2 linked regions of the Neurospora crassa OR74A genome follow. The protein of the gene in region 1 purifies or fractionates together with the protein of each later gene. This does not show direct contact. Links are inferred from orthologs where the notes say so. Each region holds a gene or a part of one and is shown in the gene's direction. Other genes may lie near its edges.

The links.
Region 2: the proteins of NCU01171 (region 1) and NCU09552 purify together in Saccharomyces cerevisiae (affinity purification with mass spectrometry; 3 studies listed by BioGRID). This does not show direct contact. The link is inferred for Neurospora crassa OR74A from reciprocal best matches to the Saccharomyces cerevisiae genes MCM5 and TOF1.

What each region holds. Positions count from the first base shown.
Region 1 is NC_026505.1:3,118,934-3,123,622, reverse strand, and holds NCU01171 (DNA replication licensing factor mcm5), read left to right. Parts: upstream 1-1,703; 5' UTR 1,704-1,922; coding exon 1,923-2,068; intron 2,069-2,133; coding exon 2,134-3,666; intron 3,667-3,731; coding exon 3,732-4,227; 3' UTR 4,228-4,540; downstream 4,541-4,689. Other genes in the region: NCU01172 (GARP complex component), read right to left, coding at 1-866, 927-1,015. UniProt on the Saccharomyces cerevisiae protein: Acts as a component of the MCM2-7 complex (MCM complex) which is the putative replicative helicase essential for 'once per cell cycle' DNA replication initiation and elongation in eukaryotic cells.
Region 2 is NC_026505.1:4,563,850-4,568,284, reverse strand, and holds the start of NCU09552 (topoisomerase 1-associated factor 1), read left to right. Parts: upstream 1-1,333; 5' UTR 1,334-1,502; coding exon 1,503-1,577; intron 1,578-1,637; coding exon 1,638-4,435. Other genes in the region: NCU09553 (3-hydroxybutyryl CoA dehydrogenase), read right to left, coding at 1-523, 599-715. UniProt on the Saccharomyces cerevisiae protein: Forms a fork protection complex (FPC) with CSM3 and which is required for chromosome segregation during meiosis and DNA damage repair. FPC coordinates leading and lagging strand synthesis and moves with the replication fork.

The sequences.
Region 1 (4,689 bases):
AGTCTGCGGCTTCTGAATGCAGTTCCCTAAGAGACCCCAGCGCAGTGAAAAAGGTGGTTGACGCGGTTGAAATCGACTGGATAAGGTGCATTTCGACGGTGTCCATATACCATGACAGCTTCTCCTGCAAGATGGCATTTGTCGCAAGAGCCTTCCGAGGCGCGGAGACCTGCCCATTGTGGTGCGCTCGGTCATCGGATCCCGGCGCGGGTCGTACCACTTCGGATCGCTCACTGACGACATCGAAAGTTCGGGGGTTCTCGAGGTGAAAGTCTTCGTCAAAGTATACCACGGGAATGGTGGATAATGGTGGAGGACCTTGCGATGCCGCTTTCCTGTAGCTTGAGCTGCGTCGAGCGGGACCCGGGGCTTCTATCGATGATATGGACGTAATGGATGAGCTGGATGCCCTCCTGGATGCGCCAGATCGTTTGCCCGGTCGTAGGTGGCCATCCTCGGCTGAGGTTGCGTCCGCCTTGCTACCTCGTCTGCTGTGAGTACCAGATGCCTCTTCTTCGTCTGCCTGAACCCGTCGTAATTGTTCGTATAACGCGCCGACTTGGGTGAGATATTGTGTGAATTCGGAATTGTCAATGCGAGGGACATTGGTGAGCGTGACAGGTGGAATGTCTCGAGCAGTCGGAGGCTTATGCGCAGTGGAAGCGGGTGCTGAGGTATGGGGAAGGAGGCCGGTTCGGACTATGGGCGGTTGGAGCAGGGTTGAGATGGCGTTCTGACCGGACTCTAGGACGGCGTCACCCCAGGTACCAGTGGAACTGTCGAGAGAGCCACCGATGGAGTGTATGGAGCCCGCCGTCGAATCCCGTCGAGAATGGAACGGGCGGCTCGGACTGCGTGAGCCTCTCCTTCAAGGAGATGTTAGTGTATATTACGGAAAGGGCATGGACAGACAAAGCGCATCGCACCCGTGGAAAGGAAAGTCGCCAAACCGCCCGGCATCGGGTATTGGCGAAAGACTATCGACCGACTTGCGAGCACCCTGGTTGGAGAACATGATGGCTCATAAGTCTCCCGGAAGTCCTAGGCCTAAGCTCAGGGGAAGACGAAATGGCCGTTGGTCATGCGCCGGTGGATTGGCGACGTGGGAAGATGGGGAGGGGGTTCGGTAATCGGTATTAGTCTATCGAGCTGTAGGCGCGGGCCGGCAGGCCAAGGGAAGCAACCAAGGTAGGTGGCGTTGAGGCTATCGTGGTCCAGAGTATGGGCGGTTACTGCGAAGGGTCACGGGGGTATCATAGCGAAACGAGAACAAGACAAGAACCAGATTGTATTTTCCACAGAAGATGGCCAAGAAGAGGCGCAAAGCTGTAGTCTCGACGCGAGCAGGTGTTGAGGTCAGGGACTCGGAGCTGCCTGTCGAATGTCAAGGTCCCCCCAATTCACAGCGGAAGCCACGCAGCGGGCATTGGATCCCACAGGACCCTTGTTCGGGATACGTAGCGCAGTTGAATGAAGCTCCGCCCGCCACTGATGATTACCTACGCAGTAAGTATACTGTGGTATGTATTTGAGCGGGCCACAAAGCTGGGTCTTGCACCGGTTGCTGCAAAAGTGTCTGGAGGGTGAACCCCCCCTAGCTGGATATCCTTTTAAGCACTCCTTTTCCTCCGCACTTCAGGGGGCCTGCCTGCTGAGCCGTCAGGTACCTGCCATTCAGCTACAAGTGGGGTGCCCATTAAAACCCCTGCCAAAAATCGCGTCTTGGGTGTGCAGTATCAATGTTTCTCGCGTCGCGGTTTTCGCACATGTTTTGCCATTTTGGATTCTCCCTCTGTTAGTTGTCTTTCTGCCCCCAACAACCCCTCCCTTCTCTGCTATTTTCTACAATTCTCCCGGTGCGAACATCTACGGCCAGTGCACGCGAGTAAACAAAACAATCACATACCAAGCCACCGTCAGCTATGGATTATCAGTCCGTCTTCTCAGCCCGGACCTACGCCGGCGCTGCTTCTTCATATGTACCAGAGGAGGACAGCAACCAGCACATTCGCGCCCAGCTCGAGGCTTTCATTCTCGACTTCCGACTAGATAACAGCTTTATCTACAGGTTCGTACTCTGTGTAGCATACTCCTGTCCTCTGTCGAGCTTCCTGTTAACATTACTCCTTCCAGAGACCAACTACGAGAAAATGCCCTTCTAAAGAAATACTACTGCGATGTCAACATTGGCGACTTGATCAAATTCAATGAAGAAATTGCCCATAGACTAGTCACCGAACCCGCCGAGATTATCCCTCTGTTCGAGGCCGCTCTGAAGCGCTGCACACACCGAATCGTCTTCCCAAACGAACCCAAGATAGACCTGCCCGACCACCAACTGCTTCTACACTCCAACGCCGAAGATGTTTCTATCCGTAACCTCGACTCCCTTACAATCTCCCGGCTGGTCCGGGTACCTGGTATCGTCATTGGTGCCTCGGTAATGTCGTCCAAGGCGACTGAGCTCCACGTCCAGTGCCGCAACTGCGGCCACGTCCAACACGTTCACGTATCCGGCGGCTTCAGTGGCGCTACCCTTCCCAGGACATGTGGCAGAATCAGGGCACCTGGGGACCCTGGCGAGAAGTGCCCAATGGATCCCTACTTTGTACAACATGAAAAGTCCAGATTCGTCGATCAGCAAATTATCAAGCTTCAGGAAGCTCCAGACCAAGTTCCCGTCGGTGAACTGCCCCGCCATGTCCTGATTTCCGCCGACCGCTACCTCACGAACCGCGTGGTGCCCGGCTCAAGGTGTACCGTCATGGGTATTTTTTCTATATACCAAAGTGGAGGCAACAAGAAGTCCACAAGCGGCGCCGTCGCCATTCGCACACCCTATCTCCGCGCAGTCGGTATCCAGACAGACATTGACCAAACAGCCAAGGGTCTGGCTGTCTTTTCCGAGGAGGAAGAGCAGGAGTTCCTTGAGCTTAGCCGTCGTCCAGATCTCTACAATGTCATGGCCGAATGCATCGCGCCGTCCATCTATGGAAATAAGGATATCAAAAAGGCTATCCTCTGTTTACTCATGGGTGGCTCCAAGAAGATCCTTCCAGATGGCATGAGGCTTCGTGGTGATATCAACGTCCTCATGCTTGGTGATCCCGGTACGGCCAAGTCACAACTGCTCAAGTTCGTCGAAAAAGTCGCTCCTATCGCCATCTACACCTCCGGCAAGGGTTCCTCCGCCGCCGGTTTGACGGCTTCCGTCCAGCGTGACGCTTCCACGCGCGAGTTCTACCTCGAAGGCGGTGCCATGGTTCTCGCTGACGGCGGTGTCGTCTGTATCGATGAGTTCGACAAGATGCGCGATGAGGACAGAGTGGCAATACACGAAGCTATGGAGCAACAAACCATTTCCATCGCCAAGGCCGGCATCACCACGATCCTCAATGCTCGAACTTCGGTCTTGGCCGCCGCTAACCCCATCTTTGGCCGCTACGACGACATGAAGACCCCGGGCGAGAACATCGACTTTCAGACCACCATCTTGTCGCGTTTCGACATGATCTTCATCGTCAAGGATGAGCACGAGCGCGGCCGTGATGAGCGCATCGCCAAGCACGTTATGGGTATCCATATGGGTGGTCGTGGTGTCGAGGAGCGGATTGAGGCAGAGATCCCGGTCGAGAAGATGAGGCGGTACATCAGCTATTGCCGATCGTAAGTTGTTTATGCTCCTATCTACCACCTTAGACACATAAAAACTGACATTGTCGCTCCTCCAGCCGCTGCGCCCCGCGCCTCTCTCCGGAAGCCGCCGAGAAGCTCTCCTCGCACTTCGTCGCCATCCGCAAGCAAGTGCACGCCTCAGAGCTTGAAGCCAACGCGCGCTCCTCGATTCCCATCACGGTCCGCCAGCTCGAAGCCATTGTGCGCATCACCGAGTCGCTCGCCAAGCTGACGCTCTCGCCCGTCGCGACGGAGAAGCACGTGGACGAGGCCATCCGGCTATTCCTGTGCTCGACCATGGACGCCGTCAACCAAGGTGGCAGCACGGGCAGCAATCGGGAGTTGAACGAGGAGACGTCCCGCGTCGAGGCCGAGCTGAAGCGCCGCTTGCCCATCGGCTGGAGCACCAGCTTGGCGACCCTGCGCAGGGAAATGGTGGAGGGTAAAGGGTTTAGCGAGGTGGCGCTGAATAGGGCGCTGATGATGTTGCAGAGGCGGGATACCATTATGTTTAGGAACCAGGGCGCGCAGGTTTATAGGAATGGCGCGTAGAAGGGATGGTGGGGAAATGACGGAGTGTTTTTCGAAGATGTTCCGACGAAAAAAAGAGAAAAGAAAAGCAAAACCGAAGCGTTCTTGCTCTGCTATTTTATTTTTCTTTGGGTGTACAGGTTAACAAGTACAATATGGGGTTTCATGGCAATGGGCGTAAGGGGGGCTCTTCCAATTTTATTTGGGTCTGACATGGTAGATATTTTGTCTGTCACAGTTTTCAACGGCCAGCTAGAAGACACACATTCGATGATCTTGCTGCAGTTTAGTATTCTCAATGCCCTGAATGTCATTGCGGTTCAGATTTGTCTGGTCTTTGGTTACCCGAAACCTTGAAGATGCGTCTATTTCGTAATCTTCCGAGGGAAGGTATTCCACTCCCAGCCTCAAACTCCCTGCTCATTCATTCAATAAGAGCATTCCTGCATACAGGCTACCATTCATCGATCATTGATGGAACGT
Region 2 (4,435 bases), about 1.4 Mb from region 1:
AGATGGAAGGGATCTTGCCCAGCTTCTTGCAAAACTCGACGGCCGTGTCAAGCGTCTCCTGACTGGTCTGCAGACCGCTGATGATCTCGACTCCCTTCTGAACGGGCACGGGGTTCATGAAGTGCGTGGACACGACGCGCGAGCTGTTGGAGGTGTCGTTGGGGTCCTTGGTGGTTGAGGCGGCGATGCGCGTGATGGAGATGGAAGAGGTGTTGGTGGCTAAGATGGCGTGCTTAGGGCAGATCTCGGCCAGCTTGGAGAAGATGTCGAACTTGAGCTTGGGAATCTCAGGCACAGCTTCAATCACAAAATCGACGCTGTCCAGGTCCTCGAGGATGGTGGTGGGCTGGAGGAGCGCGCGGGCGGCGTCCGCCTCATCCTGAGTGATGCGTTGCTTGGCCACATCCTTGCTGAGGAGCTTGTCGGCGAATGCAAGGCCCTTGTCTAGAGACGTTTCAGAGGCATCCACAAGGGTGACGGGGACTCTGGCCTTGGTGGCGGCGACGAGGGCGATGCCCAGGCCCTAAAGGAGAAGGAGGACAAGTCAGCCGTTGCCGTTGTTGAAGACATGGGCATGAATGATATGGGCCGGACTCACCATCTGGCCGGCGCCAACGACACCGAGCCTCTTGACCTCGGCAGCGTTGCGGGCGCATGTCGAGCTGAAGGCGCGAGCGCCCATGGGCAGCTTCTGGACGAGGGTTCTAGCAAGCATTTTGCGAGATCGTCACGGCGAAAGTAAACAAAGCAGACACTGTGACTGAGAGAGACTGAAAGGAAAGGGACAGAAAAATCGGAAGACTACACCTAGGTAGGCAACCAGGGCACCTCTAGAGAATGCGAATGCGACGATGTGAAGTTGTCGGATTCGGTTAACCTCGGCCGTCCTCGTCTCCAACTCGACGTCACAAGCCCGACCCGGGCCACGGGGGGGACATAACATACTGCCGTACAGGAGCTACGGGCGGCTCTAGCCTTTTCTTAGGCGGGGAAAATGGGGTCGGTTTTAGCGCGTATGGAGTACTATGTACGCTACCTAGAGGTACAAGCATGTCGTTCAGGGGGGGCAATTGCGGGCATGATTCCCGCGCCAACTCAAGATCCTCGGCTGTCGTTGATTGCCCGTCCACAGGGGTAACTCCGCAGCTCTCCACGAGGTCGAAATCGGGGTGCACAGGTACTGCTGCAGAGGTATCTCTAGTAGGTAGCTAGGTACATTAGGTACCTACTTACCCAGGTATCTTAAAACAGTCCGACAAAACGCTTGGGGAGATAAGCAGGCCAAGACCAAGATACCACCAATTTCCATTAAAAAGTACGACACGGTCGGCGCGTCTCCCACCACCACAAACGCGTGTCCCGTCCCGACAAAGTGCGCCCGACCAATGCCACCATCCATGCGATAACAAAACGACCTCCAAGACAAGCTGAGAGTTGGGGAGAGTCTGTCTAGTACTCGTATGACTCCGTTCTGGTCTTGGACGCCGTGATTTCTGCGCAAAATGGAGGCCGCAGACATCAACGACGATGTCGTCCATCCGGAAGTGCGGGCGCACATCACCAACCTGGTTTCTGCGGTATGTCCACTTCTGGACTCGTTATATACACGGATGTACTGACTCTGGCGACCCGAATAGCTCGGTGGTTACAGCGCGGACGATGATGGAAGCTACAAGCTCGGTGACGAAGCGCTAGACGTCTTGCGCGACCTGAAGAAATGGATCCGATTCTACGATGAAAAGACCAATCGCATGGACGTCGCCAGATGTCTGGCTGAAGCGAACCTCGTCGGCGGCGATCTGCTCCAGATCCTGACATTATGGCCTCAAAGCGAAACCGACAGCAAGTACAAGGCCCGTATTGCTCTGGCGTGTTTCGAGGTCATGGTGCCCCTTACTTGGCCCATAGAGAAGGAGCGCGCCGAAATGACCATCAACCACCATCGTCACATGCCCGTTCTGCAGCTTGCCCAGCTTGGCTACAAGCGCGCCATCATAAACTTCGATGCGATACCCATCCTCAACACCGCCGTCAGGGTAGCCCTTCCCTCCATGGCCATGCCTATCGGCGAGCGGACACCCCGTGACCAGGCCATCATCAAGCTCATTCTCTTCTTTTTGAGGAACGTTGCCATGATCGCACCCCCGCAAGGTGTCAAATGCGAAGGCGACGAGACACAGGTATCCAGGTCGGCAACCATTGATGCCTTTTCGTATCAAGACATATTTCTCACTCTGCTGACCCTTGCCTCCAACATGGGCGAGGACTTCCGCACCGAAGATGTAGTTATCATGGAAATCATCTTTCATCTTGTAAAAAGAGTTGACCCCAGCTCGCTCTTCGTCAGTGAAAAGCAACTCAACAAAGCCAAGGGGCAAGAGCTGGCATCGGAGATGCGCAAGGAGGCTGCTATGCTAAAATCCTACAACAAAACCACCACCACTCGGCACAGTCGATTTGGGACCATGATCTGGGTGAAACGAGCAGATGGCAAGATGGTGACGGTATCTGGCCAAGAGGCTCTTTTGGACGCAAAAACGCGAGAGAGGAAGATGGATAACTCCAAAACATTCAGACCGCCAAGAAGAGCGAGGAAACCCGAGATGGAGCCCAAGGACCTTGGCCCTCCGGTGACGCTAGATGAAAGAGCTCGTCAGCAGCTGCGATCATTCGTCCAAGACTTCCTCGACTCCGGTTTCAACCCCTTGTTTCTGCACGTGAGGCAATCGATCGATCGGGAGGCATTGCATGCATTGAACCAGCATAAGAGCCAGTTCTTTTACCTTGTCGCCTGGTTCCTCGAAGCCGAGCGGATGCGGAGAAAGGCCAAGAGGGACGAGTCGAAGTCGACGTCCGCAGCCGGAGAGGAGGTGAACAGTTTTAACCTCGTTGCTGCTGTGCTCCAACAGGAAATGTTCGCTTCCATGAATCGTGCGCTTGACCGGTCCTATAGTGATAAGGATTGGCAACTGCTCACGTCCGTCATGCGCTGTTACACCCAGATCTTCCTCACAGTCCAGGAGATGTCAGAGTCTCCCAACGAGGAAGACCAGGAGATTGCCGAAAACACCCTGAGCCGTCTCTTTTACGAGGAGACAACCCACGACCTTATCGCGAATATTGCTCGAACATACAAGGATCAAGGCTTCGAATATCTTGATGCCGCGACCGAGCTTGTCCACACTTTCCTCCGCATTTTAGAAGGTTACTCTAAGCAAAATGTCGATTTGCAGGTGCGCTCACGGAAGCGAGCTCGCCGAAAGAAGAAGGCTGCCAAAGCTGCTGCTGCTGTTGCTGCAGCTAGAGCCGCCGGTGAGGAAGCAGAAGACGTTGGCGTTCCCGAGGACAATGATGCCGATGATTCTGGGGACGATGAGCAACATGCAGAGCGGGTCACTCAGGAGCGCAAGTTCGAGTTTGGGAAATTCGCCATTCGATTCGCTCCCCAGGGTGTTGTCGACACATTTGTCGCCTTCACCAAATTCTACCGGGATTTGAACGACGCACAGCTGAAGCGCGCTCATCGCTACTTCTACCGCGTTGCCTTCAAACTCGAGCTGAGCATCATGCTATTCCGACTAGACATCATCAATCTCTTTTACAACATGGTCCAAGGTCCCGAGCCCCTCGACAAAAGCTCGCCGATGTTCAAGGAATGGGAGGAGCTCTCCAAGCAGATCATTCGGAAATGTGTCAAAAAGCTTCAAGAGCGGCCTGCGTTGTTCACCGAGTTGCTCTTTTCCAAGATTGGCAGCACGACGCACTTCCTTGAGCACGGCTATGAGAAGCCTGTCACCACAACTACGCCACGACCTGGTGCCGAGCTGGAGTTCAAGCGAGCCACAGAGCGCGACGAGCAGATTGGCATTGCGGTCAGCGTACTCATCGACAAACAGCAAGTCGAGCATCTGCAGTGGCTCAAGGATCAGCTGACAAGTGCAATGAGTGAGCGGCAAGCATGGGAGAACGTAGACAAGGCCATGGCAGCCACTACCGAGGGGGCGGCTGATGGTGAAGCTGCCGACGAGAGATCCAACAAATCAGCACCACCACATATCACGATCCGCCCTGATACCGAGGCTCGCCGCACAGCCATGTTCAAGAACCCGCACCTCCGTCTTCTCATGCGTCTAGTCGGTATGGAGCGTCTCACGCCTACTCTCGACGAGACCCCCGACTCGACCTGGATTCTCCCAGGCAGCCACACCGCCGAGGCGATCCAAGATACCATCGACCTCATCAACAAGGCCGAGTTCTCCCCTCCCACCTTTGAGGACGGCGGCTCAGCCGAAGACCAGCTCCGGCGCAAGTCCGCCGCCGCTTCTCGCAGGACGCGTGCCGCATATGACGATGATGAGGAAGAAATTCGCGGATTCCTCGGTGACGATGACGACGAAGACTTTCTCTTTGCGCCCGGCGGTCCTACCGCTCGCAA